Linked DNA regions of Oreochromis niloticus. The protein of the gene in region 1 purifies or fractionates together with the protein of each later gene. This does not show direct contact. Links are inferred from orthologs where the notes say so. Each region holds a gene or a part of one and is shown on either strand. Other genes may lie near its edges.

The links.
Region 2: the proteins of mzt2b (region 1) and tubgcp4 purify together in Homo sapiens (affinity purification with mass spectrometry; 3 studies listed by BioGRID and IntAct, counting the BioPlex papers as one, with this or other methods). This does not show direct contact. The link is inferred for Oreochromis niloticus from reciprocal best matches to the Homo sapiens genes MZT2B and TUBGCP4.
Region 3: the proteins of mzt2b (region 1) and tubgcp5 purify together in Homo sapiens (affinity purification with mass spectrometry; 3 studies listed by BioGRID and IntAct, counting the BioPlex papers as one, with this or other methods). This does not show direct contact. The link is inferred for Oreochromis niloticus from reciprocal best matches to the Homo sapiens genes MZT2B and TUBGCP5.
Region 4: the proteins of mzt2b (region 1) and tubgcp2 purify together in Homo sapiens (affinity purification with mass spectrometry; 5 studies listed by BioGRID and IntAct, counting the BioPlex papers as one, with this or other methods). This does not show direct contact. The link is inferred for Oreochromis niloticus from reciprocal best matches to the Homo sapiens genes MZT2B and TUBGCP2.

The regions. Positions count from the first base shown.
Region 1 is NC_031972.2:12,028,109-12,035,913, forward strand, and holds the start of mzt2b (mitotic-spindle organizing protein 2), read left to right. Parts: upstream 1-4,800; 5' UTR 4,801-4,954; coding exon of another isoform or gene 4,955-4,957; intron 4,958-5,171; 5' UTR 5,172-5,181; coding exon 5,182-5,357; intron 5,358-5,447; coding exon 5,448-5,608; intron 5,609-6,943; coding exon 6,944-7,081; intron 7,082-7,805. UniProt on the Homo sapiens protein: Required for the recruitment and the assembly of the gamma-tubulin ring complex (gTuRC) at the centrosome.
Region 2 is NC_031965.2:1,219,101-1,227,060, reverse strand, and holds the start of tubgcp4 (gamma-tubulin complex component 4), read left to right. Parts: upstream 1-5,018; coding exon 5,019-5,096; intron 5,097-7,960. Other genes in the region: cdkn2aip (CDKN2A-interacting protein), read right to left, coding at 2,103-2,692, 3,758-3,882, 3,969-4,218, 4,861-5,020. UniProt on the Homo sapiens protein: Component of the gamma-tubulin ring complex (gTuRC) which mediates microtubule nucleation.
Region 3 is NC_031986.2:35,924,596-35,932,453, forward strand, and holds the start of tubgcp5 (gamma-tubulin complex component 5), read left to right. Parts: upstream 1-4,846; coding exon 4,847-4,980; intron 4,981-5,054; coding exon 5,055-5,108; intron 5,109-5,426; coding exon 5,427-5,535; intron 5,536-6,105; coding exon 6,106-6,202; intron 6,203-6,695; coding exon 6,696-6,775; intron 6,776-7,858. Other genes in the region: chst7 (carbohydrate sulfotransferase 7), read right to left, coding at 2,471-3,721. UniProt on the Homo sapiens protein: Component of the gamma-tubulin ring complex (gTuRC) which mediates microtubule nucleation.
Region 4 is NC_031973.2:4,932,667-4,940,374, reverse strand, and holds the start of tubgcp2 (gamma-tubulin complex component 2), read left to right. Parts: upstream 1-4,700; 5' UTR 4,701-4,853; intron 4,854-5,217; 5' UTR 5,218-5,228; coding exon 5,229-5,378; intron 5,379-6,271; coding exon 6,272-6,400; intron 6,401-6,657; coding exon 6,658-6,834; intron 6,835-7,640; coding exon 7,641-7,708. UniProt on the Homo sapiens protein: Component of the gamma-tubulin ring complex (gTuRC) which mediates microtubule nucleation.

The DNA.
Region 1 (7,805 bases):
GTTGTATGCCCGGAGCCATACCGGAACAGTTTTTAGACCGTGGCAGGAGGAATTGTTAAACAATGTTTGATAAGCTGGCACAAAGCAGCAGCTTCTAGGGCTGAAAAATGAAGCAAACTTAGAGCTTCAAAAAATTGACGTAACTCAAATAGCCACTTTTACGGTGGCCCTGAGAGGTCAAACAAGCAACTGGAAAAACGCTGCAAAAGCTCACAAAACAGAATTTCAATAAAACACAATGGAAACAAAAAAAATGCTGCAAAGCTCACACCACAAATCAATCCCTCACATCACTGATGAAACTTCCTCTTCTCTTCATTACATGTGTTTCATTTAAACCCTACACATGTTTTGGTTTCTGTCACTTCTGCAGCTGTTCAGTCACATCATTGTTGCTGTAAAAATATTTTGTTGTGTTTTATTTAATTTCGGTTGTGTTTTGTGTGTTTTTGCAGTTTTTTATTTTCCATTTGCTGGTGTTTCCTTACATCACAGTACATTTGACCTCTCACTGCCACCACACCCTTGAGTCTGCCTACGAAATTGAGTCAATCTGTAGAGAACTTCTATTGGCTACTCCCTTTAGGGGTCGTCACAGCGACGCCATCTGCCACGTCACTCTACCCTAGCACCCTCCTCTGTCACTTTAACCCTGTCGTCTTTCACTACATCTTTGAGTGTTCTCTGTTAACTTCCTCTTTACCCCCAGCAGACAGCTCCATCTTCAACACTTTTTGTCAAGTATATCCACTATCTCCATAGCTTCATTCAAAAATACTGGTGCCCACCAATGCTAAACCTTTAGACACTGAGCAGATGCATCAATGGATGTATAAGTTTGAAAATCATATGCTATTTTCTGAAAGTTGACAACTGACCTTGCTATTAAAGTTAGTGTCACCAGGATTTAAACTCCCAGAGGTTTTCAGCAGATGCAAATACAGTATTGAATGACTTTTAAAATCCTACATCGCCTCACAAACTTGGGTATCCACACCACCTGCAATCAGCTCTCTGCTGGACCTCAATTTTGCTAATTTCAGTCAGAAAACCTCACCTGTTTTACATTATTTTTAATAAACACCTAATATGAACTCCTGTGCAGTTAAGTCCCCTAACAGACCATGTCCTTGTCCAAATATGGTTACTTCTGGCTCCAATATACCTCTGGCCAAAATACTAGAAGCCAAGGCCTTAAAACTAGACTCTGCAACCCAATGGGCACCGTGACTACATTCGTCTTTTATATACTGTATGTGAACGTCAAAGTGAAATACACACAAAGCCAAGATTTCCCAGCAGAACTGTGCATTTAACTAGATGCTCCAAATTATTCACTTCACCTGTCAGTGGTCCAAGTCACACAAAAGTACTAGTTAAATTCAAGAACATGCTATAAATATCCAAAGCACAGAAAGCACAAAACATACCTTGAGTGTTTAGATAATAGTGTTTCCAGAGGGGTCTGAGCTTGTGCTTCCCACCCACATCCCAGATGGTGAATTTTAGGTTCTTATATTCAACCGTCTCCACATTGAAACCTTGGACAAAGATTAAAAACAAGCTTTAATATAGGATAATATTAAAAAAAAAGACTTGCATTATCCTGACTCTAAAGTAACTCTGTGAACCATTAAACTGCAAGTGCATTCACCAATGGTTGGGATGGGCTGCATGAACTCGTCTTGCTTCAGCTTGAAGAGGATGGTGGTTTTTCCAGCGCCATCGAGCCCCAGAGTCACTACGCGGATCTCCATCTTTGGACCAATGTGGACCCTGTTGTCCTGAAAGGACATTTTCAATGTCATTACTACATTTATAGGAAAACCCAAGGCTTTTCCATTTTTTGTGACATACTTGGTTTACAGAAGCAAATTTCTATGAACAGCGACAGTATGTACCTTAGTGAAGGTGACTGGGATGCCAGCATCCAGCTGAATGTGATCTGCCAGCTCAGTGAACTGGTGTTGCTGCTTCTGAAGCGTCTCCAGCAAACAGTTGATCTCCTGCTTTGCCAGAACAACTCTGCAGTCGTCCTAAAGCACATAAGAAGCAACGCACATCACACCTTTAAAGGCATTACACAAGCATTTCCACAAATCACCACAGCTTTGATCTTAACTGGGGTGAGGAAAAAGAAGGAAACGAGTTCCTAAACTCCTCACATCTCCTACCTGCTGAAGTGTTTTCTCACAGTGCAGGCAGGCGGTGGACACCTGAGACAGCAGGATGGTCATATCCTCCTGCTGCTGCCTCAGCCAGATGAGCCTCTCCCTTACATGTGCATCCACCACGCTCAGCGCCATCTCCTCCTGTCGACACAGGGTCTCGTGCAGATCTGCAAAATAAGCTCGGACGCAGGAGCGGGCGCTCTCTGCTGTGCCGGGGACCTGAAGCACACACGGGAAAGATATAAGTGCCAAAACAGAAGCATGATCATTTGTATTTTATTAAGAAGCCCTTTGTCTTACATGTTCAGTGTGTGCCATGCCTACTCCATCCTCAACTATCTGCTCGCCACCTTCTATCTGCTGCACGATGCCCACCAACTTCCTCGAGTACTCGGACACCTCCTCTGTGAAGGTTCGGATACAGTGGGCCATGTCGAGAATGGATGCACGAATCTGATTGGCTTCAGTCTCAAGAACGGCATGCTGTTAGGGAAAATAGGGCAATATATAACCATATCTTTTTCAGTGACTATATCTAATATGGGAACAAGTTTTTCAGCTACCTTATGGCCCTGGTGCTTGCCATACTCCTTACATACACAGCACATGAGGGGCCCGGACTGACAAGCTTCCTCCAGGCAGACAAACTCGATGGCGTGGACCTGATGCTGTGGACACAGGGTCTTCTCATGGGGCTTATCGGCCAGTGGCACCCGCCGGTGTTTGGCCAGTGTTCGAGTGGAGTGGGTGAGCTGAGAGCACTCGCCACACAGGTGGGTGGCACACACGGTACAGTACATGGAGGCTGTGTGGCTCTCATCCTCATCGCAGCGAATTATACACTAGTTTAAAAAAAGATGGATTGAGGATAAAGCATGCAGAAGGTGTGAAGGTGACACATCTCTTATCAGTAAAATCATAGCTGCCTTACTTCTCCCATGCCTTTCAAGGCATCCTCTGCCATTCCTGACTGGTTAGTCGCTCCATTCTGGAGTCTCTCCAAGAGTTCAAGCAGAGCAAAGTTTTTCTTTAGACCCCAAACTCCAGAGTCCCCTAAGCAAATGTGAAGAAAGCAAACTCACTTTGAAAGGCAAATAATGCCAGCACTGTACAGCTCCATGCCCTCAAAAACAACTTTAGCCTCAACTGGATCACAGATTTCTGCAGCGAGAATAATGTTTTCTGTAATAAACACCCAATTTTTCACAACTTCTGGGTAAAAGTCTTTTGTTTTTAAGGGGCTGGCATGAAGTCAAATTAACAGAAACATGCAGATCACAGGATGTTGTTCTAAGGTTCTTAGTTGGTTTTGATAGCTCTTTTTATGCTCTTGTTTTTAGAAGAATGAGCAGTCTCAGGATTCAGCAACTGAATTTCACTTAATGATTTATATAGCAGGTATTACACATATGTGTCCGCTATATATACAATGCTGGAAAGCGTGATGACATCACTCACCCAGCTCAGTGACCTGCCTGTCAAAGGGGGCAGCGGACCGCTCTGCCATGGAGGGGCAACCGGGTTAGACAGTCATGGCACACCGTGTGGCCGCAGAGCAGAAGACGAGGGACCTTGTCCCCCCTGGAGAGAGAAGACATCCTCACAAACACCACATTCCAGCACCTGCAAATAAACATATACCAGTATTAAAGCACCCGATCACTGGGGCGTACAGATGCTTCTGGGTTACTGCAGAGAGATGCTCTATAAGGTCTCAGACAGAACAATAACTAGTCGGATGCAGTCATCTTGACCCGTAGCGTTACAGTTGAATAACACTTCTGATTTCTACTTTCAGTGATCTTTAAGTGAATGCATTGAAAGCAGTACGAAAAGCAGCTTCTGACACGGTCACACTCTGAGCTGGGCTCCCTCACAGAGGAACTGCAGCAGTGAAGCACAGCTAGCACAGACGCCAACTAGCGACAGAAGACCAGCCAGCTCATCTGCTAGCATGATGCAGGCACAAATACCAGCCATGTCAACGTGCACAAGTCTAAAGGTATAAAGCAGCGCTAAAAAAATGACCGTCTTGTGAAACAGTGTTTACACATGACTCTGTTCCGATTTATAAAATAAAGCTCTGACATCCTCCTGCCAACGACGCCAACGCAGCAGCATTCGCCCAAAATCAAAAGCGTCAGAGGCAAGCCTGATGTCGGTCATTCGCTCAACATAACAAAACAGCCAAACACCAGCGATCGACATGTAGTTTGATCCAAGATTGTAGTGACACCATTACAACCTTAACCGTGCTCCCATTAGCTCCTCTCCCGTGTCGGATACAGGGCTCCATCGTCGCTACGGCGCCCTGCTTGTTTATTCCTGCTGCAGCAGCGGCCATTCTTGGACGACAGCGCAGAGACCCGAGCAGGTTTGAGAGGACAATCCCCAGAAGCACTTCCGGTTTCGTTCTTTTTCGCTCTATTAGCATCTCTACTAGTATAGGCTACCGTGCCTATATATTTCCAGTGACTTATGTTCAATTTACGAAAAAAAACCCTGCCCAAATAAATACCTAAGGGCGTTTGAAAATAGCTGAGTAGCGGCAAGATTTCCCCCTGGAAAGACTTTTTAAATTAATATGGGGTTGTAAAACATGGATTTAAAATCTTAAATGAAGACGTGACGGACAACTGAATAATGTAACTTTTAAAAACCCACTTTTTTCTTGTATTTTATTTTTGCGTGCATTACGTATGAAAGGCAAGACAATGACGTATTTTTGGCGCGTCACGCTTGGCTCAAACAGAAGCAACTGAACGTTGGGCATTGCGCTCTTAATGGTAGGTATATTTTAATTTTGAGGAATCAGGCGTTTGCTGTGTTAATCATTTAGGTCTCATTGTGGTTATATTTTTGATAAATTTTGATATTTTTGATTCGGAGAGGAGGTTCAGTTACGCCGTGTTTCGCCGTGGGCGGGCAACAATCGTTTACGCTGTTTTTCTTTTGGTCATTGCATCTTATTTTACCTTCTTATTTAATCTAACCCCTCAGTTCATTAGTGATGTCTCAACAAGCACAACAAACGATTCCCTCCGCCCCTGACTCCCCTGCGCTGGTTGTCACATCTAACGTGCAGAAATATGCAATAAAGAAGAAGAAAGTCCTCAGCGCCGAAGAAATGGAGCTGTTCGAACTTACTCAGGCTGCAGGAATCACTGTGGATCAGGAAGTTTTTAAGTATGTTTAATAATAATCGGCCTTAACTGTGGTTTACATGGAGGAGAAGACCGTGGTTTTATGTCCTCACCCCCTTCCTCCTCCTCACAGAATCATAGTCGACTTGCTGAAGATGAATGTGGCTCCTCAAGCGGTCTTCCAGACTTTGAAGGCAATGTGTGCAGGACAGAGGGTAGCTGAAAGCTGTGGTGTAGACCCTTCAACTGGCACCCACACCACAAGCATGACCACAGCGCACACAGAAGCCAGAGGTTAGTATCTGAAGAATGGGATGTAATGCAACTGAAAGTATATGTATATTTTTCATTTAAATGTTGAATATCTTTCAGCGCACATAGTCTGGCTTCTTTTAACTAAGAAACATTGCAGAAATCAGGCTGGGAAGTTTTAGTCTCCCCATTTATACTGTCTTATCCTAGTCCGTTCATGTTTTCCCCCTCTGTTGGGTCCTCCTAACCCAACATTGGTCAGTCCAGGATGCAGCAGCCACAAACACTAGCTAGGATTTAGATATCCGTCCCCCCAGATCACAACTGACTGAGGAAAAGTGGGCTGTCATTTGTCACCTACAGTTTAACCCTCTGAAAGTCAGGAAAGTTTAGGATGTGTTTTGCTCTTTTTAATCATTATGGGTTCACTTTTTTTTACGGCAATATAAAACCCTGCACCTTTAAGGAAAGCCAAGGCTAGAAGGAGAAAGAACTCATCACTGTCTTTTGTAAAGTGTAGCATAGTTATGCCACAAATCTTTATTATGTTAACATAAATTATGTATGTAGTGTTTTTTTTAAAATCGATATATAAACTGTTATTGTATAAACTATCAAAATTCCCAGATCTCGGTCTAATCAAACATCTGTGAGATATGATAAGTCCGATCCATGGAGTCCCCACCTCACATCTTAAAGGACTTAAAGGATCTGTTGCTAACCTCTTGGTCCCAGATACCAAAGCACACCTCTAGGGCATCTAGTGGAGTCCATGTGGACCAACACAATATTAGGCAGTTGGTGATAATGTTATGCTTGAGTGGTGTATGAGCTGGTGGGAATGGAGAACATCAAAGGTCCAAGGATTAGGGAACATTAGGGAAGAACACTGGTCAGAGGGGGTCCTGAGACCAACCTACTTTCCAATGCAAACAAGCCCAGTTGTTGGTAACAGTAATTTCTGATAACAAAAAGCGTGTGTGTATGTGGCTACAGATTAGATTTTTGATGCAAAGACTCAGAATTTTAAATTTCTTTTTCTAACAATTTATGTTATATTCTTTCTTTGCTCTTCTCTTTGCTTTTTAAGTGTGTGAAATTATCACGTTCCCCCATTTAAGTTCTGTACACGCTGTAGCAGAGGTTCTGTGCCGCACTCTTCCCTTACCTGACCTCACTAACTAAATCCAATCTTCACTTCACCCCACACAGCACGGTTTTCCACATAAAAGGAGGGTATCTGAAGACAGGCATAGTCATGCAAACTCATCTACAAATCGCTCATCCTCACTGTGTTACAGGTTTTTCTGATTTCCTCTCTATCCCGGTCAGTTCTTTCTTTTCTTTCTTTTTTTCTGTGTGTCTTGTTTCCTGAAGAAGAGGACTCTTTGGCTTCTGGAAAGAGCCCTAAACCTGCCGCAGCTCCCCCCTCAGCAGCAGGCCCCAGAGCCACAAGGGTCAACACTAAGATTGTGGTCTACAGCCCCCAAGACACTAGTTCTCCTCACTCTCAAGGTCCCTTTTGCTGCACTCTCTCCTCCACCTTCATCTGCCCACTTGCTTGCCTTTCTCATTAACAAAAGTTGTATTTATGTGCAATTTGATATGGAGCAGGATTTGGGAAAAAAAAAACTGCATGCTGTGCTTTCTTTATATGTGCATGCATGCGATTGTGTGTGGACCGCAAAAATTGAATTTGCCCTTGGATGTTTTCATACTCAAGGAGATTTATTCACTGTGCAGTGGATTTTTTTCCCTTTGTTTTTAAGTGGCTAGAAAGTTAAAAAAGAAACTCTGAAGTACTTTTTTATTGATTCTTTTACACAAGAGTAGCTTGAATTTACAAGTTAAAAAAAAGAAGTCTTTTATGTTGCTGTGTGGTGATTAACCTGTCACCATATGAGTGGCGGCACAAAAGAAGGGGATCTTGACTTGGTTCATACAATATGCACTTATTGAGTTCTATTTTCAGGATTTCACTAAAGACTTACAGATTAATAATGATAGTCAAGTTTATAGTCTTCTACAGTATAAATGGTCAGAAACTTAAACTTGACAAATAAAGCAGAGAAAAGTGTGCGGGCACCAAGCTTTTTATGACTTTATAAATAACGTATTAAACATTTGACTTGCTAAGAACCCTAACCCTAAGCAACCCCAATGTCTTGATTTTGTATTTGTAAATGGTTACATCAGTTTAGTGATATATAATACAGAACTTTCACTTGAAGAAGCCCTT
Region 2 (7,960 bases), on another chromosome or scaffold:
CGAGCGGATCGTGGCCTGTGTCCAGTGGAAAATAAATAAGAGCCCAGTCATGTGAATGCAGTCCACTCAGCTGTGTCGAAGAGGCCCGAAGCCTGCTTATATAAACAATAAGTTAATTTCAGCTGTGGGAGGAGGTCGAGCATGAATGTCACTCAAATCGCTGACGGCTCCTCAGCCGTGATCGTTTTACGATTTCTAATGAGCCACTGAGTCAGGAAGTGCAGCTGTGGATGAACTTGAGCTAATTAACGGTAACGAGAGGAAATACGTGACCCATGTCAGCTCATGGAGTCCAGATTTCTGTACTGTTCAGAAATCCTCAAAGTGAAATGAGATCATTAGGTTTAAGAGACCGTAACTAACACCCCTCGAGCTCTGGTGCTCACACAAAACACACTTAGCTTAGTTTCAATTTGGTTTATTTAAAAATATATAGAAACAGGAGCACTGGCGTAAACGTACAATGGAACAGTATAGATACTCACACTTTAACGCAACCCTGTTCAATTTCAACCGAGACTGCAAGAAAGAAACAAACACGTTACGGCAGCACTTTACCCTCAAACACATCAGAAACACACACGACGCGTCCAAACAAACATTCTTCATATTAACAACCAAATACTTCAAACTTTCTCTTTTTTAACATCAACTTATTTATAATAATATCAAAGAAAAGCAGTAGCATTTACAGTCAAACAGGTACTGTAGTTGGCAGAGTCTCCCTCAGTTTCTGTCTGAATAATAAAAAAAACAATCTTCAGTTAAGTCCGTGTGGACATGTTTTTGAATCACTGGGATGCCAGTTCCATGAAGAACTGGAAACCAGTAACCATGACTGTAACCAGGATTTCAGATTTAGTTTGTCTGAACTAAGACATAATCAACGCACTGTTTCTCCAAGCTAATCGAAAAATTAAGAATAATGTGATCAATTCAATAAGGTGCAGCCCTGCTCTCCTAATATGATATCACATATACTGTTACAGTGGGCGACACTCATATTAACAATAAAACCAGTGTTTAGAAAAACCAGGGAATGTGCAAGTAACACCGTGTGAGCCAAAAGCTGCCCGTTTTTCTCCTCTTGGCTCTGTGTGACATCAGCGAGAGCAGGCGTGGCTCTGTCAGACACACAGCACACTGATCATCCTGCTGTTCATGAAGGGCAGCCAATTAGAATACAGCTGGCTGAGAGGGAAAGGAGCTGAATCAGCTGGTTTCAGACAGGGGGAGGGGCTGAAACAAATAAGAATGACTGTGAATTATGTTACAGAATCTAAATATGGAGATGGGAATGAGCGTAAGAGGCCCCCCCTCTTTAAGTGCAGCTCACGACAGAATAGCAATGTCATTGCAACCCTTCACGAGTACGATTAAAGGAAAAGACTGACATTTATCACTGAAACAAGAAACAACTAAACTAAATGCAGACTGGTGCGCCACAGTCTGATGTTTTTTTAATATTCTCAGTAAGGAACAGTACATCATGTTTAGAAAAGAATCGTTACCCTGCCAGGTTATTGAAGCTGTAATTGTTGAGTCCGTGTGACTCACTTTGCTTGTACGTTGTGAGTTGGAACCTAAAAAACCAAAACCCAACTCCTACCAATCAAATAAAACCTCATGTACTCCTGTGTTACCCTCATGAAATCAGCAGATAAAAAGCTGTGACACAGGAATGAACTGAAGGGGGAACGAACTACTGGCCAAACTGCTTTTGTCATAAACAGTCACAAACAGTGTAATATTGCAGTTTTGCTCATTGGTGGCTGCTGGACTTTTAACCAGTGCCACAGGCGCTCACTCCACACACTTTGGTTCGCTGTTTGCTGTCTTTACAACTCAGATAATGGCTGAAAATATCAGGAGCAGTGGAGTGGGTTTGTTTTTTTTGCAGACTTGGGACTAGTTTTATTGTTCTGGTGATCGTGCACGCGTAAGATTATTAAGAAATGAAGGTATTGTGTGAAATGCACCATGACAGTTAATGCTCCAAGTTACCTAATATTCTCTGGGCTTAGCTACGATGGTCAGCTGCATAACAGTCTGGTCCCGACACAGGCGTGAACGCCTTCAGTAGCTCCACCCAGTCAAAGCTTCTACGATGAACTGTCTTCCAGCTGCTCGTCCTGAAAAGGGTAGCTGAGAGCAGGAGGAAAGCCCTGACTGCGGGGCTGTTCGTCCAACAGCATCAGATCATCCACGTCTTTCCCTTTGTACCTCCGCCGACAGATCTTTACAGTGACTTTCCGCCCCTGAAATACTTTAAGGGCTTCTTTGGAAGCCATGGCTCTGGCAGCGGCCTCGTCGCGCCCGTATCCTGTGCCCATGAAAACAGTCTGACAGCGAATTTCACACACGTGGCCTTCCTTCTGTGTGCGGCCCGCGGGGAGGCCCGTGATGTCCTTCAGCGGCACAAACACGCACGTCAGGGTTTGCTTGCACGACTCCACGCAGCTGCGAAGGATTTCAAAATGGTCCAAGTTGGGCCCAAAGCCCCCGGCTGACACCAGTTTCCACGCCACAGCCTTGTACAGGCGGTTGAAGAAGGGCTGGTGCTCTGCTGGAGCCTGTGGAGGTGGTCCCAGCTTCTGACTCGCAGGCCGCGCCGCCGTCCTGAGCGCAGGTCTGCTGTCGAGCTCATTAGGCCCAGCCTTGGCTCTTTTCACGCAGCTGTCATCCTCAAGCTCTGCAAAAGATGACACAGCAGGCAGGAAAACGTTGACTGCACAGGAATCTGTATTTAATGAGGAAACAGAGCCTCAGGTGTGCGTGTGTGAAAGGGAAAAAACCCTGTGCGTAGGTAATTACACTGAAACCTCACAGCAACAGAGAACAGCAGTGAAATGGATTTGTTGGTCAGTAACGAGCTACAGAAAACTGTCAAATCTATTCTTAGATTGAAGTCACATCACTTGTAAAAGCCATCCAAGGTAACCTTAACCTGTTATCATGGAGGATGAAACTAATGCAAATATTACTCTGTGTGTTCATATATGTCCGTGTTGACACGTCGGAGTGACAGGATCTCTTTTGCTTCTTAGCAAGCTTGACGAGGTTTGTGCATTATTAGCAAGCAGTGTTTGTTTTTTGCACTTAAAAACGCTGCAGCCCGTTCGTGACAGATCCTGCTCTGTGTGTGGCTTAGTCACAAACACACAACAGTCACAGCCCAGATTTAAAGTATTACAGATTTACTGCTGTTTGCATTCACAGCCGCTATCATGGATTGTTGAGTCAGGCTTGGTCGGGCTGCTCCGACTTTCTGAGTTGGAAATCTGACCTGAGGCGATGTTCCAGTGGAAAATTCAGAGTGGGAAGTCACTAATAGTATTTGAATCCAATGCAATCACAATGCACAATAGCATTTTAAGCATTGTTAACTGGGCTTTTTAAATGATATACACAATGGAAATGATTTCAACTACAGCCGGCACTTAAACGGTCCTTAAATGAAATTTATAGGAAAATCAACATGGCTGTATTATATTATCTTTGCGGGCTGTTTTTGATGATATCATCAGTACAGGTGTGTTAATGTCACCTGTCACCATTGGTTTCCTATGTATATATCACCCTGAATATTCCAGAGAAGGTAGAAGTATGAGACTACAGGCCAAACACTCAAAAATCAATTATTATGATTTTCTGTCGTTATCAAGCAGCAGCAGAAAAACCTGGACCCATTAAATAACAGGTAGTTTTCCCAAATGTAACCTGTGAAGATGAAATGTTAAACATGTGCACTGCTTACCAGCTGATGCGCTCCTCTTTCCTCTGGCTGTGAATTCATCTTTTGTTGTTTTGTGAACAGGAGGATCTTGGACTTTTATCCCTTCTCCCATCTCTTTGATCTTGTCCATTACAGCCTGTGGATAGCTGAGGGATTTAAAAGGTAACAATGAACTCTTATTATAGCGGAGAGCATCCACAGCTTGTCATTCTGCTCCATCAGCGTGTCCTACCTGCAGCCCAGGAAAACGTGATTAGCCCAGACCATGGACAAAGAGAGCAGCCTGTCCAGGCTGCTGCTGGAGACTCCTGGCTTCACTGTCGGGAAAGCCTCCATGTTCCTAAGGATGAACTCTCTCCGAGCGACCCACTGCTTGTTGCTCTCACAGTAGCTTCTGAATGTTTCCACCCATTGGGCCAGCTGCGGATTCTGGCCCAGGTACTCTGCAACCACGTCCTCTCCGCCACTCTCCCCCGCCATCCCTGCACTCAGACACGGTTTTACGGTTAGAAGAACAACAGAAAACTAGCAGCAGCTTATTTATTTGTTAGCGGTTAGCAGTGCTAGCGTGAATCATGCCACTTAAACTCAACAGGTCTGCGTTAGACGACGTAAAATGGCGGTGGCCCTACTAGTTTCAAACCGCTGGTGTTTTCCTGCTGACTTGCCTGAGAGCAGCCTAACGTTTGTTGTGTCAACTAGTAAATATACCAGAGTGGACCCAACAAACCGACTCCACGAACTAACGTTAGGACAAACGGCTAGTGGAATAACATTAGCTACAGCAGAAGACACGCTAACAGCAAAAACACAGACATAAACGAGAGTAACGGGATTGCCGTCGCTTGCACGGGAAATATAAAGTTAGTATTTTATACAGTAACTACGACATACCAAGCGCTCTCCGTTGCGATGTGCTTCAGCTAGTTACATGACCGAATGATGACGCCAGACTCGCGACGATATCTTAGTGCACAGGAAAAAAACTACAATTCCCATGAGCTGGCTTGTGTTTACGCATCTCGCAGAGCTAATTGAAACCCAAACGAAGCACGCGTGGAGTTGCTAAAGGCTCTTGTCGATTTTAAAAACAAATAACATCGCAAGCCTGACTCTTCCACTACCGTGGAGCGATGTCTCCGGCTCCTGCAGCACTCTTCCCGTGATGCTTTTCGCGCTCACGTAACAAATCTGCGACGGCTCGGGCGGCGGTTTGTTTTGGTGGCTGAATGGGAATCTCTCCGCTACAATTTGAATTTCAGACACTTTAAGTTTCATTGACATGATTCACGAGCTCTTACTGGCGCTGAGCGGATACCCGGGGACGATTTTTACATGGAACAAACGAACAGGTTTACAGGTAACACGGAAACACTGCAGTTCTCTGATACGATAACTTCACTCAGATGTTAGCTAATATGCATGTGGTTACAAGTCAAAGCTTGACAATTTATTACAATTCAATTATGCATAAGCTAAATTATTAGCTTTGGTAGCACTATATTAAAGATATGCATTTTTGCTAGGATAGCTTACTGACAATTGGCAGGTTTGAATACTGCAAGATGAAACGTCACTCACCTGCCTTTTTATTAGGTACCCCTGTTCGTTTACGCAAGTATCAGCCAATCGCATTACTGCAAATCTGTGCATTTAGGCATGTCTGTGAAGGTTCTCAGTCATTCAGGTCATCGTAGTCTAAGGATCTTGGATAGAAAAGCGTCTGGACTTAAACTTTAAGTTGCTTGAAGACGTTTCACCTCTCAGTAGAGAAGCTTCTTCAGTTCTAGGGTCAAATGGTGGAGAGTCCCAGATTTAAGCTCTTTGGGAGTAACCCCTCCAAAGAGGGACAAAAGGACCCCCTGATGATCCTCTACCTAATCACATGAGCCAAGGTGGGTCCCAATCAGCCAGGGTTTCGGGTGAGCTCATTGTGAAACCTGGCCCCACCCTATCATGTGATTTCCTGAGGTCAGATGGCCCAGGATGTGAGTGGGCGTTAAGGCGTGTGGGAAGGATCTCAAAACTGGATTATAGATGGCAGACAGTTGGTGTCGTAAACCACCGCCTCTGTTCAAAGATGGTCGCTCACAGTGGACATAAATCATCTGTCCTCGCTGTCCAAAATGTGAACATTGGCGCCTCGAAAGAGTGACCTTTGACCTTTAGATGCAGATGGACTGCTGAGTCTTGTCCCGTGGAGGTGGCTCTTCTATGTTGTGCGCTTGTGAAGTGGCTGTTTGGTCTCTCCAGTATAGAGGTCTGGGCATTCCTCACTACAATGTACAGCATACACCACATTGTTCAGTCTGTGTTTTGGAGTTTTGTCTTTGGGATGAACCAGTTTGTGTCTGAGTGTGTTGCTGGGTCTAAGGTAAACTGGGATGTTGTGCTTGGAGAAAACTCTCCTGAGTTTCTCTGATACACCGGCTACATGTTGGATGACAATGTTGTTGCGTCTGTCTTTCTTATCCTCCCTCGCTGGTGTCTGATCTTCTTTTCTGTGCCTCTTTGCTGACTTGATAAACGCCCAGTTAGGATAACCGCATGTTTTCAGTGCTTCCTTTACATGTGTGTGTTCCTTCTTTTTCCCTTCAGGCTTAGAGGGAACATGTTCTGCCCGGTGGTGTAGGGTCCTAATTACTCCAAGTTTGTGTTCCAGAGGGTGGTGGGAGTCAAAGAGGAGGTACTGGTCCGTGTGTGTGGGCTTCCAGTAAACTTCAGTGTTGAGGTTTCCATTCCCTTCAGTGCGCACGGCACGGTCACATGGAACATGGAAGTGGAAGAAGAGGCTCTTGGCTCTTTTAAAAGGAGAGCACCTAGCCACTGGTAAAGATATGTGGACAACACCTGGGTCAAAATCAAAACACAAGAAGTGGAATCCTTCACTGCTCACATCAACGCTGTGGATAAAAACATAAAGTTCACCAGGGAAGACACAAAGGATAACTGTTTGCCATTCCTGGACTGTGCTGTGCACATTGAAGAGAATGGCAACCTCAACATCGAAGTTTACTGGAAGCCCACACACACAGACCCCTCCTCGATTCAGAGATGGTCTTTCCCTTTTCATGTAAATGGCCTTGTTGACTCTGCGCTCAAACCAGCGTTCCTCCCTGTCCAGGATGTGTACATCCTCATCACTGGCCTGTAGGCGTAAATAGTCCTGGCCTGATGATCTGCCATCCTCTTCGCCAGAGGTTGTTTGGTTTCCCTGATGTATAAATCCTGGCAATCCTCCTGGTGCTTAACACGATCCCCAAAGGAGATCTGTGTTATACTGATTTTATGTTAGAAACCAGAGAAAGGCTTTTTGTGTTTTTAAGCTCTGCTCTCATTGAAATAATTACCAACATTACTTACTTCCCTTCTTCCTTTTGCTGCAACATTGTCTTTCATTGCTGTTATTTACATGTAAACTCGTCTGTTTTGTATCCATGTGTTTGGTGCTTTTTGCAGTTAAAATTTACAAGTGGGTGAATGGGTGTGGTATTTTTTCAAAAGGTCTATTCAAATGAATATTCCAGCTGTAAGCAGGACAGTGTGTGGGAGCGCCATTTGATTTGATTTGATGTCTTTTATGAAAGGCAAAGAAGGAACATCTTGTACACATCTCATTCTGTGTGTTTAGAAAACAGATGTGTTCTAATAAAAGTGTGAGATGGAGAGTGTGCCTGTTGTGTGTCAGAGCTAAGCTGACATAACTCTGTCTTTCTTTTATGGTGTAAGCAGTTATAAAAGTGTAATACAGACAAATGTCTTGACTATATTTAAATAGAAGTATCAGAAAAAATGTTAGCAGTCTTTGTTTTACAGCTTCATATATAGATGTCCTAATACATGCTCAATCATCCAGGTAAGTAAATCTCCAAAAGTTGATTCTGTTCATCTGGACGTAGCGGTGAATGGTACTCATGGCAATTGATCAGTGGTTGTTGATCAATGGTCATGAGAATTTGCATAATCATGATGAAGGTGACCTCCCAGCCCATTGTTCCTTCAGTGGGCTGGTTTCAGTCATTATGCAAATGTACTGTTTATAAGATTGGGGAAACCTGCAGTCAGCTGAGACTGAAGACGTCACCTGGATGAGTGACGAAACGTTTCTTCCACTGAAAACGTCCAGATGAACAGAATCAGCTTTTGGAGAATCATATGGTAGTGAGTTGTGGCTGAAATATTCAGTGTATAATTCATTTATTAGGCAAGTTTCAAAGATAATCA
Region 3 (7,858 bases), on another chromosome or scaffold:
TTTGCAAACATTATGTAATATAACATCTAGGTTTAAATCAACACTGACAAGTTTGTTAAGTTAACATTTTATCTATTTCAACTGTTAATTTGTCTAGTTTACTTGGTTTAACTCACCTGACTTACCTGTGTTCCAGGAGCAAAAGGACGAAGTGCTGCCTCACTTCCTGTATTTATAGCTTCCTGTTTAGTTTCTGATGTCACATCTAGGGACCAGGTGAAGAGGTGAAGCCTATTGTTTGGATAGCTTGAGTCTTTAAGTAGAAGAACTCGGGTGTTCGAGAGGAGAGGACCAGGTCAGTTTAGCTGAGTGCACTTGACATTAATTTTTGTTGGTTTAAGTTCAGTTATGTTTATTTGTACCAACTTAACTTTGGAGTTGAGTTTTTCTTCATGTTTGTAAAGATTTTTGGTCACAATGAGTGTGAATAAATCATTTTTTACCCTGGACAGCATATGTCTCCTGCCCTTCTTCAGCCACTTTGGCCAAAGCTATCTTACAGATAGGCTGAGTTAAATCTGGGACATATTAACAGACCGGGATCGTTATCTGACCATCAGAGCAAAGTGCAGCCGCTCACACAAGACGCTGCTGTGAACCATCAACGACACAATTAAAGTTTAATTCAATCAGCACGATCGAAACATGAAACACGCTTTAGTTCTTCTACAGAACCTCAAGTCCCTGACTCCTGCGTCCATAATATCTTTGTGACGGAAACACCAAATCAGGCTGCTGGGCACAGACGGAGCGTCTGCTCTGAATCCTCGCAGTCCTCGAGTTCTGCAGCGTTTGTTTTCCTACCTGTGCTTCAGCAAACTCACACTAACACATCACAGCATCACACACGCTCCAACAACCACACTACACGAACTACACAACACACCTAACGTCAGCGCTTCGGTTCTCCAGAGGTGGTATCTGTATCTGAGGCTGGCTGACAGCCCACCAATCAGGAGTCACGCTGCACACATCGAGTTTGTTCACATGAACTACAGACACACACACACACACACACACACACACACACACACACACACACACACACACACACACACGCACGGACAGAGACACACACAGACTTGACCCAGGCTTCGTTTAAATAGTCTGACCTCTGACCTTTGTGGTCGTGTTTTTAGTTTCCAATGTTTCCGCAACGTGGCGTCCATCGAGCCGAGGACACGACGTCATCAGCTCTGCACGCACACCGCTGCCTGCCGTTAACACGCAGACAACCTGCGAGAGAACTTCCTCCTGCACGGTTCATGCCATCAGTGGCAAGTTTAAGTTTCCTCTAACACCTGCTTCCTTTCTCAGCCCGATGATCTGCCTCCAGCCACACCTGAATCTTTAAATCTGCCCCACACACCCAGCAGCCTCGGACCTCTTTGCTTACTGTGAGCCTGATGATGTCACCATGTTACATCCTGTCTGTGTAGGCGTGTTTCCTGATGCAGGAACAGCTGTTAGACACTACACTGTGAACAGGTGAGTGCAGTCCTGATTGAGTTTTAATCATTGTTAAGCGCTGTAGATTGTATCGCAGTCACTGACGCGGCTTTAACCTGTAACTTTAGTGCGTACAGGTGATGTTACAGACTCACGGGTTTTACCCGCAGGCACAGATTCATCATCGACTCTCATGTTCACATCACCCACAACCATCCGGGTGGCGGGTCACCTGACTCTCATTTCTTTGAGTCTGGTTCAGTTTATTTTTTTCTCTCGTTTTGTTCACCTGACGAGGACTAGGACCCGCAGCTGCGCTCAACATTGGAGCGAGAGCTCCATCAGCGACTGTGACACAGCTAAACCACCTGCAAACATCTGCTTTTATAGAATATTACCATTTAGATTTTGAATCCGAATGATGTTGGTTTTGTGCTGCTTGGTGACACAGTTATGATCATTACTACCTGCTACTACCTTTTGTTTGCATTTTATGTCAGAAATAAAATTCCTCTGCATCCTGCCTCACTCGTGTCACTTCCTGTCATTAACTTGTCAGAGCATCTTCCTCCTCTGAGATAAACAAACCATTAACTTTGTTTTCTTAATCTAACTGGAGGAAGAACAGCTACATGACCTCAGCAGATTATTACAGCAGATTAATAATCCTCAGCAGATTATTGGCTGCTCTTCCTGGCACTGTGTGTGTGTTACAGAGTGTGTTTTTTATAGGGTGTGTTATAGTGTGTGTTTGTGTCTGTTACAGCATGCGTGTATCTATGTCTGGTACAGTGTGTGTGTGTGTGTGTGTGTGTGTGTCAGTTAGAGTGTATGTGTGTGGTGAGAGGGCTCAGTCTGGGGTTAAGTCATGTGACCTGCCATGTCATCAGCGTGGAGGCTGTGATGTATGAAAGTCTGAGTCTCTGTTTCACCTGCATTGTGATCCAAGCGGGTCAGGTCAGAGGTCACAGATCAGCAACATAAACAGACGCTTGTCCGCTTACCTCGGCCCACGGCTCCGTCATGACGCCGTGTCCTCCTCATGTGTCTTCTGGTAGCCCAGCTGCCTCATGACCTCGCCACAGGACGCCTCCACCTGACTGATCTGCTCCACGCTCAGCCGCTCCCTCCAGGCGTGGACAGCCTCCTTGGCGTCGCGGGAGGAGATGAGGAATGGTCTGTCGGAAGAGTAGCCGTGCCCGCGTGTCATATTGAGCGCAAAGCTCTCGAGCGCGGCGGAAGTGGGCAGGTCAGCGAAGCGCAACAGCCTGCGTAGCTGCTCGGCCGGCCGAAGCACCAGGTCCTCGTAGCGAAGGCGCAGGTAGCGGCTGCGCAGCCAGGGCGGTGCGCGCAGCTGCAGCAGCAGGTCGCGCAGCCAGCCGTCACAGATGAGCTCCAGCGCGCCCGACACGTAGCTCTCCGCGCGCGTCGCACGGTTCGCTGGCGCGAGCAACCGCTTGTACCTGTCGCTCTGTCTGCGGCTGCGTAGCACCTGGATGCTCTCCTTCACCAGAGCGTGCTTCGACTTCAGGCGCGAATTGTGCACGGCGCGCGGGTCCCGGAACAGCTGCACGACGCGCAGGTTCACACTGGGGTCCCGTATCAGCGGCACGAGCGTGCCCAGGTCCAGCACGCGCACACCTTTGATCACCATCACCGGGTACTTCCGACACTCGCGCTCCAGCTCTCGCAGTTCCCTGCGCGGGCACTGCGCACACAGCTCCTCCTTCACCAGCCCCACCTCGTGGCGCCGGTGGGCGCGGCACAGCGGCTCGGAGCACAGCACCTTGTTGTTCTTCCAGCCGAAGATGAAAGCGCTGCTCACGTTCTGCGCGCCCGCGTATAGCCGCAGCACCGAGAAGTCACAGCGGAAGAGCGCGCTCATCATGTCGCGCACGGCGCCCTGCAGGCTCTGCGCGTCCCCGGGGTACAGCGCCTGCCAGATGTGCCACATGGGCTCGTACAGGTAGAACACGTCCGGGTGCTGGTTGAACAGTTCGCCCAGGAAGGAGGAGCCGGTCCTCCAGGTGGCGTGCAGGTAGACGTGGATCCGTGGCTGGCTGCGGTTGGAGGAGGGCTCGGTCGCCGGCTCGCTGCCGTTGGGGCCGCCAGCGTCCTCCCACGGCAGCTCCAGCTCCGGGCAGCGGGGCTGGAGCTGCGCCGCCGGCCGGGTCGCCCGGTCCCGGGAGTCAAGCACGTAGGGCAGCAGCAGCAGCAGTCCGGTGTAGGCCAGGATAAGCAGCAGGTACTTCTTGTTCAGCCTCCTCTTCATCTCCGCGCAGGGTCGCTGCTATACGGAGTGTTAGCCACGCCCCCCGCCGCTTCGTCCGGGTAGAAATACCAGCACGGCCGTCTCACACCAGGACTGCTGCCGTCCACCGTCTCTGTCAGTTAAGAGTGCGGAGTGTGGGGGCGGGCCTTGTTGACGCCGACAACAGAGAGCATCGAAGGAAAGAGGCGTCCACCAAAAGCACCCGCCCCTGAGCGCGCTGAATTATGGGAGACCCAGTGTTTCAGAGCAGTCACAGCCAGCTGTGAGCGCTTTAAGCTTATAATAAAAAAAAAGCTTTTAGCTTATATTTTTTTTCTGCTAATAACATAGCTCATGGGTTCACAGAGGGCCCTAGCAAGTCTATAGCTGTAAAACAAAATTGCTATGAACATTTTTCTTCTGGAAACATAGTGTGTTAAGAATGTATAAATATTCGATTATAAAGAAATAAATATAGTCAAATCAAAAGTTATTTACAGGCTTTTATTTTCGTAAAATCTTGTATTGTACATATGTGAGCATAACCTGAGCATCTGCAGAGAATCATCACCATCACCACGGGGGCTTTTGACTGCGCTCCTCACCTGGTAAACAGGCGATATCAAGATAGCGCGTCCTCTCGTTGACCCGTAAACGAGCATTATCTGGGTCACTGCAAGAACTAAAACATGGACTTGTTGTCTAGAAGCACTTCCCTTGAGCGTATTTCAGTGCTTTTTGTTTACTAGTGCCCGTGCGCCCACTGCTGCTCATACGGATGCATTACCGCCATTTTCCTACATAGATTCACAGGAAGTGGAATATTCAGTTTTTGTCCTTTTTTTTGTACCGACTGAGAAACGAGGTTTAACAATTTAAAAACAGTAAAAAATAAAAACCGTAACTAATTTGAATTGTTTTTGCGCATGCTCAGTCCTATTTGTTTGTTATGGAGGTGGGGCTAAGACTGCGCGGTCCTGTAGGAATCAATGGAGGAGACGGCCGTTTGTCTATAATGGCGCATTTAAGACATCCCCGGTGCTGTTAGCCTGTTCGCGGGTGGAAACTGCGGGCTGGAAGCCGACCGAGAGGCCGCTTCGATCTGTGCCCGTTCACGGCGACTGCAGCCCGGCTGACAGCGTCAACATGGCGCACTGGAGCACCTTCGAAAAGGAGAGTGAGAGAGAGACGAGGCGGCTGATCAGGTGTCTCAGCGGGATCGAGGATGAGGAGGACCAGAACTTCCAGCTGGCGCTCAAATTCGCCTGGTCCAACTTTAAGTGAGTTTTTACGGGTGTGTGAGGGAGCAGGCTGCTGCACGCAGCGTACTAACATCCGCCTCGTGTCTCCTCAGGTTTCATCGATATCTGGACACAGACAGCCACAAAGTGGAGCGCAGTGTCAGCGGGTGAGTGACTCCTTCAAAACAGTGAAGTCTGAGCAAACTAAACATCCCATGTAGGCAAACCTTTAAAGGCGACTTCAGGATTTTCCACATAAAAACCTTGAAGAGGAACAATGTATGTTCTCCTTCAGGGCTCTGCATGTCCTTCTGTCCCAGCATCCTCCTCTGTCACTGCACCCTTCTGCATGTCCCCCTTCGCTCCATCCACCAACCTCCTCTGAGCTCTTCCTCTTCTCCTCCTGCCTGGCAGCTCCATCGTCATCCTCCGCTCTTCGTCTCCTGCTAAGTTATGGTATAGTGACAGTCTGTCGTGTTTTCCAGAATCTACGAGAAGCTCGTGGTGCACTCGGACCTACAGAAAGCAGAAAGCTGGATGAGACTGACTGAAGAATTCCTGAACTCACCTTTACCTAACACAGATGGGAAAAAGGTAGCGCACAGCTGTTTTCTGCTCTATCACAGACGGACACACGATCCATACTCATGTGCGACACCAGTCAGTGTTGGCATGCTGCATCATATTCTAGTATGAAACTTGTGAACAAGAGTCAGAGGGGATTTTGGAAGGATGAAGGTAATAAATGTAAACTTGCCATCAATAAACAATCACATTAGTCTTTTCAAGTCAAGTGGCCTTATTATCATTCCCACCATGTGTAGTGGTACAGTACACAGTGAAGCGAGACAGCATTCCTCCAAGACCATGGTGCTGCATATATCAGACAATCAACACAAGACTACATAAAGTGTGCAAAAAACCAAAACAAAGACAGAATGATACAGACACAACAGTGCAACAGAAAAGTGCACAGTAATAAAGTCTAATAAAGTATTTCTGTGTGCATAAAGTGTGCGCTTGTTTTCTGACAGATGACACAGGCCTAATGGCTTGGTATCACATGTTACACACACAGTTTTCTGGTGTGTAGGGCTCAAACACTGAAACGTGACTGCAATGATGTGAGAATATCTCAGTGAAATGTGATCTGTGTTTCCTCAGACCGATGCACACTACAGCATACTGTCACTGCTGCTCTGCCTGTCGGGATCCCCCTCAAACACAGACTTTACAGAGAGACCCAGACTAAAGGAGGCCGGTGAGAACCGCATTGTTCCCTTTATCTGTGACCAATGTGTCAACACATTCTGAAGTCATTAAATCTGCTTTTCTTATGTTGGAGTTAAAAACACACACTGTGCAAACAGAAGGTTTTTCACATATTCTTCCAAAGCAGGAAGAATTTTTTTCTCTCATTAAATATAGAACTTTTTAAACCAAAGCTTGGTTTTAGTGAATCCCACATTACAGATGCTAATGATGCTTTGACACCAGGATCAGACAAACAGATTCTAGTGAAGTCATCACAGTCGCACCCATGTTTCTGTTTCAGAGTCACAGTGAAAGCTTCAGCGGCAGGAAACCTGCCCACCGTGTTTCACTGCACAACATCAGTGCAGTGATTATAAGTTCACTTCATGTCAAAGCCCAGAAAGTTAAAAAAATGACTTGTTTCCAGATAACCTTAGCACTTAGCCTTGAAGGCTAAAAATCACACAGTTTATGTTAATCTTTCCGTCTTATGTCTGCAGAACCAGAGGACAAGTTTGACTGGGCTAAATATCTGATGGAGGGTGAGGACACAGACATGGGGCCGTACCCAGACACACCTGTGAGTCACCGATCCCACCTGTTTCTGATTCTCTGAGCAAAAACCCGACTGCCATGAGCTTTTAGATTATTATAGAAAATATAAACTGTTCTAAAAAGGTTTGTTCTGCAACATGAGCACCACACCACAGTCACATGACTTTAACATCATCACTAACTTGTGTTCACCGGCAAAAAAACAAAACTAATTTCTGACCCACAAGTACAAAGCCAGAAAAGCTCCAACAAAGTCAGACGCTGAAAAAAGATAAAGAAAGAATCAAACGTGAGCTTGTGTTGAATCTGACGGCAGCGTCACGTCTGTAAAGTAGGACAGATCTGTGCTTCCTCTCTGACATCACTCTGTGATGGTCTGTGAACTGAGGACAGCAGCTGCTCGGGTCTGATTGAGGATTCCGGCTGCTCGGCAGTTCCGGCTCTGCTTCATCCTGTTGTTGCTTTCACAACGCTCCAGATGTTGTCGGCCAGTCAGAGGTCTGGATTGCAGCCGGGCCAGACTCTTCTCTGAAGCCATGCTGATGATTCTGACCTGATATCACTTGTGGCTTCGTGTCAGCATGACGAAGCTGTAACCTGCATGTGTGGACAGCACGCCGAGCTGCTCGCAGACGCTGGTTTCTGGAAATGTTCCTGAGCCGTGCACTGATTTATCACAGAGCAGTGTTTCTGCTGAAGGTCACAGTCATCAGCCTGTGCACAGAGGTTCCTCCAGATCCTCCAAGTGTGCTGATGATGTCATGTTGTGTAGATGAGGAGATGTTCACAGTGAGGACCATGATTCTGAAACAGGTTGGTGAACCTCTGAGAAGCTCCGCCTCTCTGTCGCCAAATTCCCCATGAGCTCAGATTCGTCACGAAGCAGTAAAATGTCTCATTTTGAGTATTTACTGTTTTCTGTGCTCTAATGTGGATAAAATATGAGTTTATAGGATTTGCAGTGTTGGGAAATCAGTTTTACCCCGGTTCTTTTTCATTCCTCGGGCCTCCAGAGATGCACCGGGCCCAGTAGTCATTTTTACAAAATCTTTATTCATCTTCATTCATCTTTACTTATTCTTTATTCTTAACTCATTCTTTATTCTTT
Region 4 (7,708 bases), on another chromosome or scaffold:
ACACCCCTAAACTTCCAAGCAAGCACCGAGTGTACTACGACGTAATGTGAAATTCACAGAGAAACTCGCGGATTCTTCCACTGACCGCTGCAGCACACCTGCACCAGGGTAAACCTCCGCCTACCCCAGTCCTGCTTTACAGGTGAAAATAGAGCAACAGGACCGCTAGTCTTTGATTTTATTTATTTTCTGCTGTGTTTTACTTGCATCTATTTGAAAGAGTGAGTGTAAACACAAAAAAATATTTTATTTTATGTGCTGGAATGTGCAGAAAATAGGTTTAAATGTTAAACAAATTTCTTCCAGTCAGAGAATGTTGCATATAATTTAATTTTTGCTTGATGCATAAAGTTAAAAGATTAAAACTAATAAAACAAGTTTTAAAAAGAGACTTTTCCATTTGATTACATTTTGTATGATGGATTATGCAGAAAAAGTAGAATTGGGCTGAAAGATCTATCGCTTTATCACCTATTCAGGTTGTAAATCGTGTTTTTAAAAAGTAACTAACTAAGTAACTAAGTAATTAATTACTTTTGAAAATAAGTAATCAGTAAATTAACGGGATTACTTTTTGGGGGAAGTAATCAGTAATTAGTAACTGATTACTTTTTTCAAGTAACTTGACCAACACTGGTAATGAGTAATCTAACTAATTACTATTCCTATCGTTACAACGGCGTTACAGTTACTAACAAGGAAACGCGGTCCGTTACTATTTTTCAACAAACAGACGGTTGAAGCTGTGTTCAGCTTACCGCATCTTATATCAGTTGCACGGAAGTAGCTGTAAGTAATCTGGACGCTACAGCTTTAAGCAGCTGCGCGCTCCCGCAGACGCTAATCACGATCACTGTCTAGCACAACACCTGGAGCTAAGGAGGCAAAACAATCGCATGAGTGCTGCTGTTTGACTGAGGAAGAATAAAGTAGTCATAAGTCAATCACATGACCACTTAAAGACAAAGCAACAAGGTGACAGTTTTTAAATTGTGTCGATAGGCCACGTAAAACCAGAGTCATGATAAACAATATATACGCGGCGTTTTTCCCTCAATAGTTTCGCCACGTTAGCGCTAGCAAGCACTCTCTGCTTATGAGCAAAAAAACAAAACAAAAAAAAGTTTTAGGAGTGACGGTGAGAGAAAGAGAGAGGGAGAGAGGGAGAGAGCAGGAAAAGAGAGAGAGCGAGTTTTGAGATGTGAGATTTGTGACGTTTAGCGTGTTTGGAGTGTGTAGTTAATGTGTTGTCTTGTGTAGTTAGTGTGTAGTGTTGTGGATAGTTTTGTGTTGTGTGTCAGAACAATGAGGCGACTGCTGTCTCCAGGTAGAAACAGGAGTGATACACCTGCTGCTGTCAGACCTGCAGGTATCAGGCTGTGATGTTCTCCTTTATAGTGGACAGAAATGATTTTTTTGGAGTGGCACAAATAATTTGTGTGGCATCTTATTGAAGAACAGCTGATTGTTCTTTAAATAGTTTGAAATGGTTATTTAAAAAAGGGGTAAAAAGTAAATGGATGCAAATAACTTTGTTGTTTGCAAAACTTGTGCATAGGATTTTAAAATTGACAATTAATATTTGCATTTGAAGTTATGAAATATGATTCATTAAACATGTTTATGGTTGTTACAGTAAAAATAACTTTTTCTACTGTGATTTTATGTTTTTTGTCTGATTTTAGATCAATTCTGGTTATACAGTATGACAAAATGAGAACATAACTGTAAATTCAGGCACGTGAGGTTGCGCTAAAAAGAATGATACCAAACAAGGCAAAGTAAATAGTTGTTAAAGGTAAAATGTGGAGAGAAAATCAAGAGTAGTAAAAAAAATGGCCAATTATACCCTGGACGCCAGGGGGTTAAACGTTCTTTGTTTTTGTTTTTTTAAGTAACGCAATAGTTACTTTTCCAAGTAATTAATTACTTTTAGAATATTGTAACTCAGTTACTAACTCAGTTACTTTTTTGAAGAAGTAACTAGTAACTATAATTGAATTACTATTTCAAAGTAACTTGCCCAACACTGGTTAACAAGAAAAACGCATATAAGAAAGTGGTGCGCAAAAGCAGGATAGTGACAGAATTGATGCGCATTATTGATATTTGAAGCATGTGTACCTGCACATGCATGCTTATTAACACACGGGTACTGTGGAATATATTTTTTACTCACCTAAAGTGCTCGTGCTCTCGTCCACTCCCCGCAAAAAAAAAATTAGCAGCTGTGCGGTGTCTGTGGCATCAGTGCTCGGATCGCATGCGATGGAGTAAAAATCAAAAGCACAGCTTTATCAGACAGTTGCAGTTTAATGTTGGCTGACAGTCTTCAGTGCGTGGCACAACTGTAGTTCTGGACATGCTGACATTGTTGAAGTCCTGCACTTTTTTCGGGCACATTATTTCGGTGACTTTAACGAGGCAGCGTTTTATGAGGTCTCCATCTGAAAAAGGCTTGCCATGTCTTGCGATGAGTTGGGCGACCTCATAGCTGCTATTGGAGCCTTTTCCTGGACAATTTGAGCACGAAAAAAATACTGTTGCTGACCCCGCATGATAGCTAGCATTTGCTTTAATTTCTGCTCTCGCTCAGCACCAGTGTAGGATGCATAGGCCTGATGTTTGGTTTCATAATGACGTCGTACATTATACTCTTTCATAACTGCCACAGTTTCAGTGCAGATCAAACAGACACACGTCCCCTTTAATTCTTTGAAGAAATATTCACTCCCCCCGTGTCTGAAATTTTCTGCATTCACTTTCTACCTTCTGCTTCTTTGGTTCTGCCATGTTTGGTAACTTGGGGTAAATTTCTTCTGTGATTGTCCTTTTTGGTAGAGCAACTGCCTTGATTAACAGTAGCTCCCCCTGGTGTTAAAACTAAGAAGTGCAATACACTCAAGCAAAAGTTGAAGTGCGGGCTATTTTCTATTCTATTTATAAAATTACTTGAGGGCCAATTAAAAATGGACCGCGGGCCAACGCCGGACTTTGGACACCCCTGTCCTAAACCGTTTATTCTGCACTGACCCCTTTCCAGGGCTGACTCTAGGATTTGGTGGTCCTAAACAAGATTTTACATGTAGCCCCAAAACTCTTTACGCACAGCACTTTGAGTGCACAGGTAGAATAGAAAAGTGCTATATAAGAACTAGTCCATTTACCATTTAGATCCACCAAATCATGCACACTGCAAAGACCCCAGTACATACCTCTGCAGATTCAGTTATGTCGGAGAAAGCTGTAGAAGCCTGTGGTGCCTCAGTAAAGTCCTCAGCTATGTTCGGGGAGGGAGTAGATGACTCTGAAGTTTTGGATGATGTCAGCAGTCATGTCAGCTGTGGTAGATGTGCTTGTTGCATCAGAAACTCCAAAATACTCCAGTAATGACCCTGAGAATTTTATACATTAGATTATTATTTTTATACACAGGGTGGATGAAATTAAATAGGCATATTACATGAATTAGGGCTATACTTTATACTTTCGTCATGTTTAACGATTAACTGATACTGTGAATGTAAGCGACAGCGATTTACAGCCCGAAAAGTTACATAAATATAAAATAATTCAGAATCATGTGATCTTTGCTTAAAGTGGTGATTATTAAGTGATTATTAAAGGCGACATGCTGCGTTTTTCCTCGAGTTTGATTGAGGAGAAATCATCCTTTCAGGACGGCCAGGTGAACCACGCCCTGACAGCGGCGATGAGGATGGTGATGAAGGAATATCTGATTCTGGTCACACAGCTGGAACACCGCCAGCAACAGAAGCTCTGGTTCTACATTCAGCCCACGATGCCCATGGTGGAGGAAGTCTCTTTGGTCGTGGATCTCCACTTCTGTGTGAAAGACGTACACACGATACCATGATATCTTAGTGAACTAGAGACCCTAATATTTGATGTACTTCCATTAGTTAAAGAATTAAACTGTTAGTGCGTTTATTAAAATAAATTATGTTTTCTGCTGTTTTCACATCATCATAAACAGTAGGTTGATTTATATTAATTTTTCACTAACAGATACTTAAACTAAGGCTAGTTCCTCTTATTTTATTTTAATTAGGTTTTTTTAGTTCACAAATTCTTTTCAATTAGTTTTAATTCTTTATCAGAAGTTTATCTTTATTTGTATTTTAGTTAACTAAAATTGTTTGGGTTCTTTTTTTTTACATCTAATTTTAGTTTTTTGTTTAGTTTTAGTTAACTATAATAACCTTGGTCAGCATCATAGTAGCTGCAGTTAATCTACAAACTTATACATAAGCAGACATCTACCCGGGTTCAAGTACAGTAACAAAAGCAGTATTGTGATTTTAGAGAAAATGCCTGTTTTATGATTGATAGATTTTTGCGAAATTGATTTTTAAAAGTAGTTATTATATTCCTTTTTGTATTACAATTCGACTTTCAGCCCCAGCATTAAGATATTATTACCTATTAACCTAATCTTATTTGAAATATTATTTTTGTGAGATTTTGAAACTTCTGCATTATCAATGTTGATTTTTTTCTCCTTGACAAACATGAATAAATTGCACAATACATTTCATAAGCAATACTTTGCACAAAAGAGCCAAAATGTTACAACTTTTAACTAATATATGTGAAATTATATTTAATTTATTTTTTTATTTGTCAGAATATTCAATATACACTCCGGTTTAAATAAATAAATAAATACATAATTTTCTGGCTATTTTTGTATGGTCAGGCGTCACAAGGTCACTGACCTGTAGGGGTCAGTGTGGCGCCGTCACTTCGCTGCTGGAGAAGAAGAAGAATTTGATAGTAGTGGGCGCGTTTGCTATCTGCCCCGGTAAACGCTGCAGAAAGGCGAGTGCCAGGTAGAGTGATGACTTCAGACTCTAGTTAAACCTGTAACAGGGCTTCATGTTACTGAGTTACGTTGTTATTTGCTTTTATGGCATTTCATGTTTCACTTGGCTCAGAGAGCTACTAGATAGCATCCCCCTGCTGTAGCAGGCTAACTAGCCAGCTAGCGTAAACAACTGTTAGCTCTGCATCACCACTGAAAGACAGGATGTCATAAACATACAGCCGTTAAACCCTCAACTAAGCTTCATCTGATGTTTGTCAGTGTGAGCCGGCAGCTCTGATGTTCATATCCATTGTGACCGCCTGAGCGAAATTCTTTCTCTTTATTTCTGCCCTCTCCTACAAAGTAAAACCTCTTTGTCGTTATGGCAGCTGCGGGAGCCATGAGCGAGTTCAGGATCCACCACGACGTGAACGAACTGCTCAGCCTACTTCATGTGCGAGGCGGCGACGGAGCAGAGGGCTACATAGACCTGCTCCAGAAACACAGGACCCCCTATGTCACCACCACAGTGTCCGCGCACAGTGCCAAGGTGGGCTATACTGTACTACACTGTGCTTCACTGCAGTGCTTTTCATGGCTCATCAGTTGATAATTTAGTTTTTAATTAGCATCTGTCCTCTTATCAGACACGCAGTCACACTACAGCAGACAAAGGCTCTCTCAGAAGGAGTGTTTTTCTGCACTTGGCACCATAGTAATGTTTGTTAACTCCTCCCAGAGACATTAATCTCGCAGTTAACTTTAGCAAAATCCCAAATGCATCATTATGACCGGCTGTCCTTCCAGATTGCACATGTACTAATGAGTACAGGGAGTTTGGTGAGGAGGCAGAAGGAGTACTTTAAGATTCTTATGAATGAAGAAAATGAGGAGAGAGGATGATGGGATAGATGGGGGACAGGTAGGAAATCAGGAAGTGCAGAGGATTAGTAAGGAGTAAGTGAAGGCGACAATGGATGGATCAAGAGTGAAAAGGCTCTTGGTTCAGATGACATACCTGACATACCAATGACAGAGTATTGAAGTTAATCTTGTAGAGTGAAAGGATGCCTGGGGAATGGAACGTATGGCTTCACACCAAGAAAGAGCAGTACAGATGGGATGCTTGTTTTGAGAATGTTGATGGAGAAGTGTAGAGAAGTTCAGAAAGAACTGAACTGTGTGTTTTTGTAGATCTAGAGAAAGTATATGATAAGGTACTAAGACAGGATTTGTGGTAATGCATGAGGAAGTCAGGATTAGTTGAGAAGTCTGTCAGGGATGTAATCCCACCCCCACCTTGAGCCCCTTTTCTTGTTTGCAGTGGCGATCACTTCCCTAACGCTAAAGTTTTATAACTTACTCTTAGTTAAACACCCAATGTTCGCAACAGATATGTTTCTTTGAATATTTTATTCATATTGCATGTTGTGTCACTTTCAGGTCAAGTTAGCAGAGTTTTCTAAAACCCCGGAGGATTTCTTGAGGAAATATGAGGAGCTTAAGTCCAAAAATGTTCGGAACCTCGACCCTTTGGTGTATCTGCTCTCCAAACTCTGTGAGGACAAAGAGGTAATGCCTCATTTACATGCTGCTTTTCATCTGGTTCTTTTTGTCATAGAGTCCAAATATTTCTATACTTCCTGGTCTAAAATCACAATTATTTCCTTATTATTAATGTTGAAAAGTAGTTTAAAAAATGTAATCTACTCCAGACACTGTACACAGCAAAAGTAAGAAATTTGCTGATTTATGTCCCTCCATCAGAGAGTTGGTTGATAAAATACTTGAATCTAATTTTGCATCCCTGTCTTGATATTGTTTTGCAGACCCTCCAGTTTCTGCAGCAGAATGCTAAAGAGAGGTCGGAGTCTTCAGCAAACACCACCTCAACCACGACAACCAGTTACTCTCTGCCTCAAACCAGCACCAAGATGTCCATGCAGGAGCTGGACGAGCTGCGTAAGAAGCTTGGCAATGTAACAGCGAGCTCCAACGCTCCTCTGGTGAGCATCTCTTACTCAGATGTTACTGATCTGAAGGTTAGATTAGCCTGTGAAACTCTACAGGACAGGTTGGAGCTAAAATAAGTTCAGCTAGAAACTTAATTAAGATAGGATGTATTTATTGGTCGATTTTATATATGGAAACAGATTCAGATAGTTTTTGTTCTTTTGGCTCTGTGTGATGTCAAAGAGAGCGCAAAGTTCCAACCACCTGCTGGTCAAATAATTTTTGAGGGGCAGTCACTCAGAGGAAAGTGGGTTTGAAGATGGGGGAGCTAAAACAGTTTGGTTCAAACAGTTAATGAGCTGGGAAGCTGCACAAAGGCCCAGTATAAGATAAAGAAGGCTTATTTTGGACTGTGAGTCATACAAGGCTGCTCTCTGGAGTACTACAATTAAGATGAGTTGGAGGTTCACAGAGATGGTCCTTTTTAAGTTTCAGAATATTTGTTCATAGAGCTATTCAGGTTTCTTTTTCTTAAAGTAGATCAGATCAGAGATGATGAATCTCAGGCTAATAAAGGGGATAAAAAGGATTAAAAAAGCTCTCATTCACATTAGATTCTCATTGTATTTCACATAGGAGTGATTAGACATGCAGATGATTTGTTTTTGGCCACTTGGGCTCAGCAGAAAGATCCTAACATCCTTTTTTCTGAATAAAAAGCTGCCTTGATCAATAGTTTAATCTAAAGGTTAGAAGGGTCAGTCTATTTCTATTGATAAATATTAAATTAAATTTCACTCGGTTTACCATCTGCTGCTTTTAAATCCTGAGTTTCTTTGTTTTTGGAATTCGCCTGCAGCCGGCTGAAGTCACACGGAAGATGCTGAGGGACAAACACAACAAGAAGAACCCCACCCAGCCCAACCC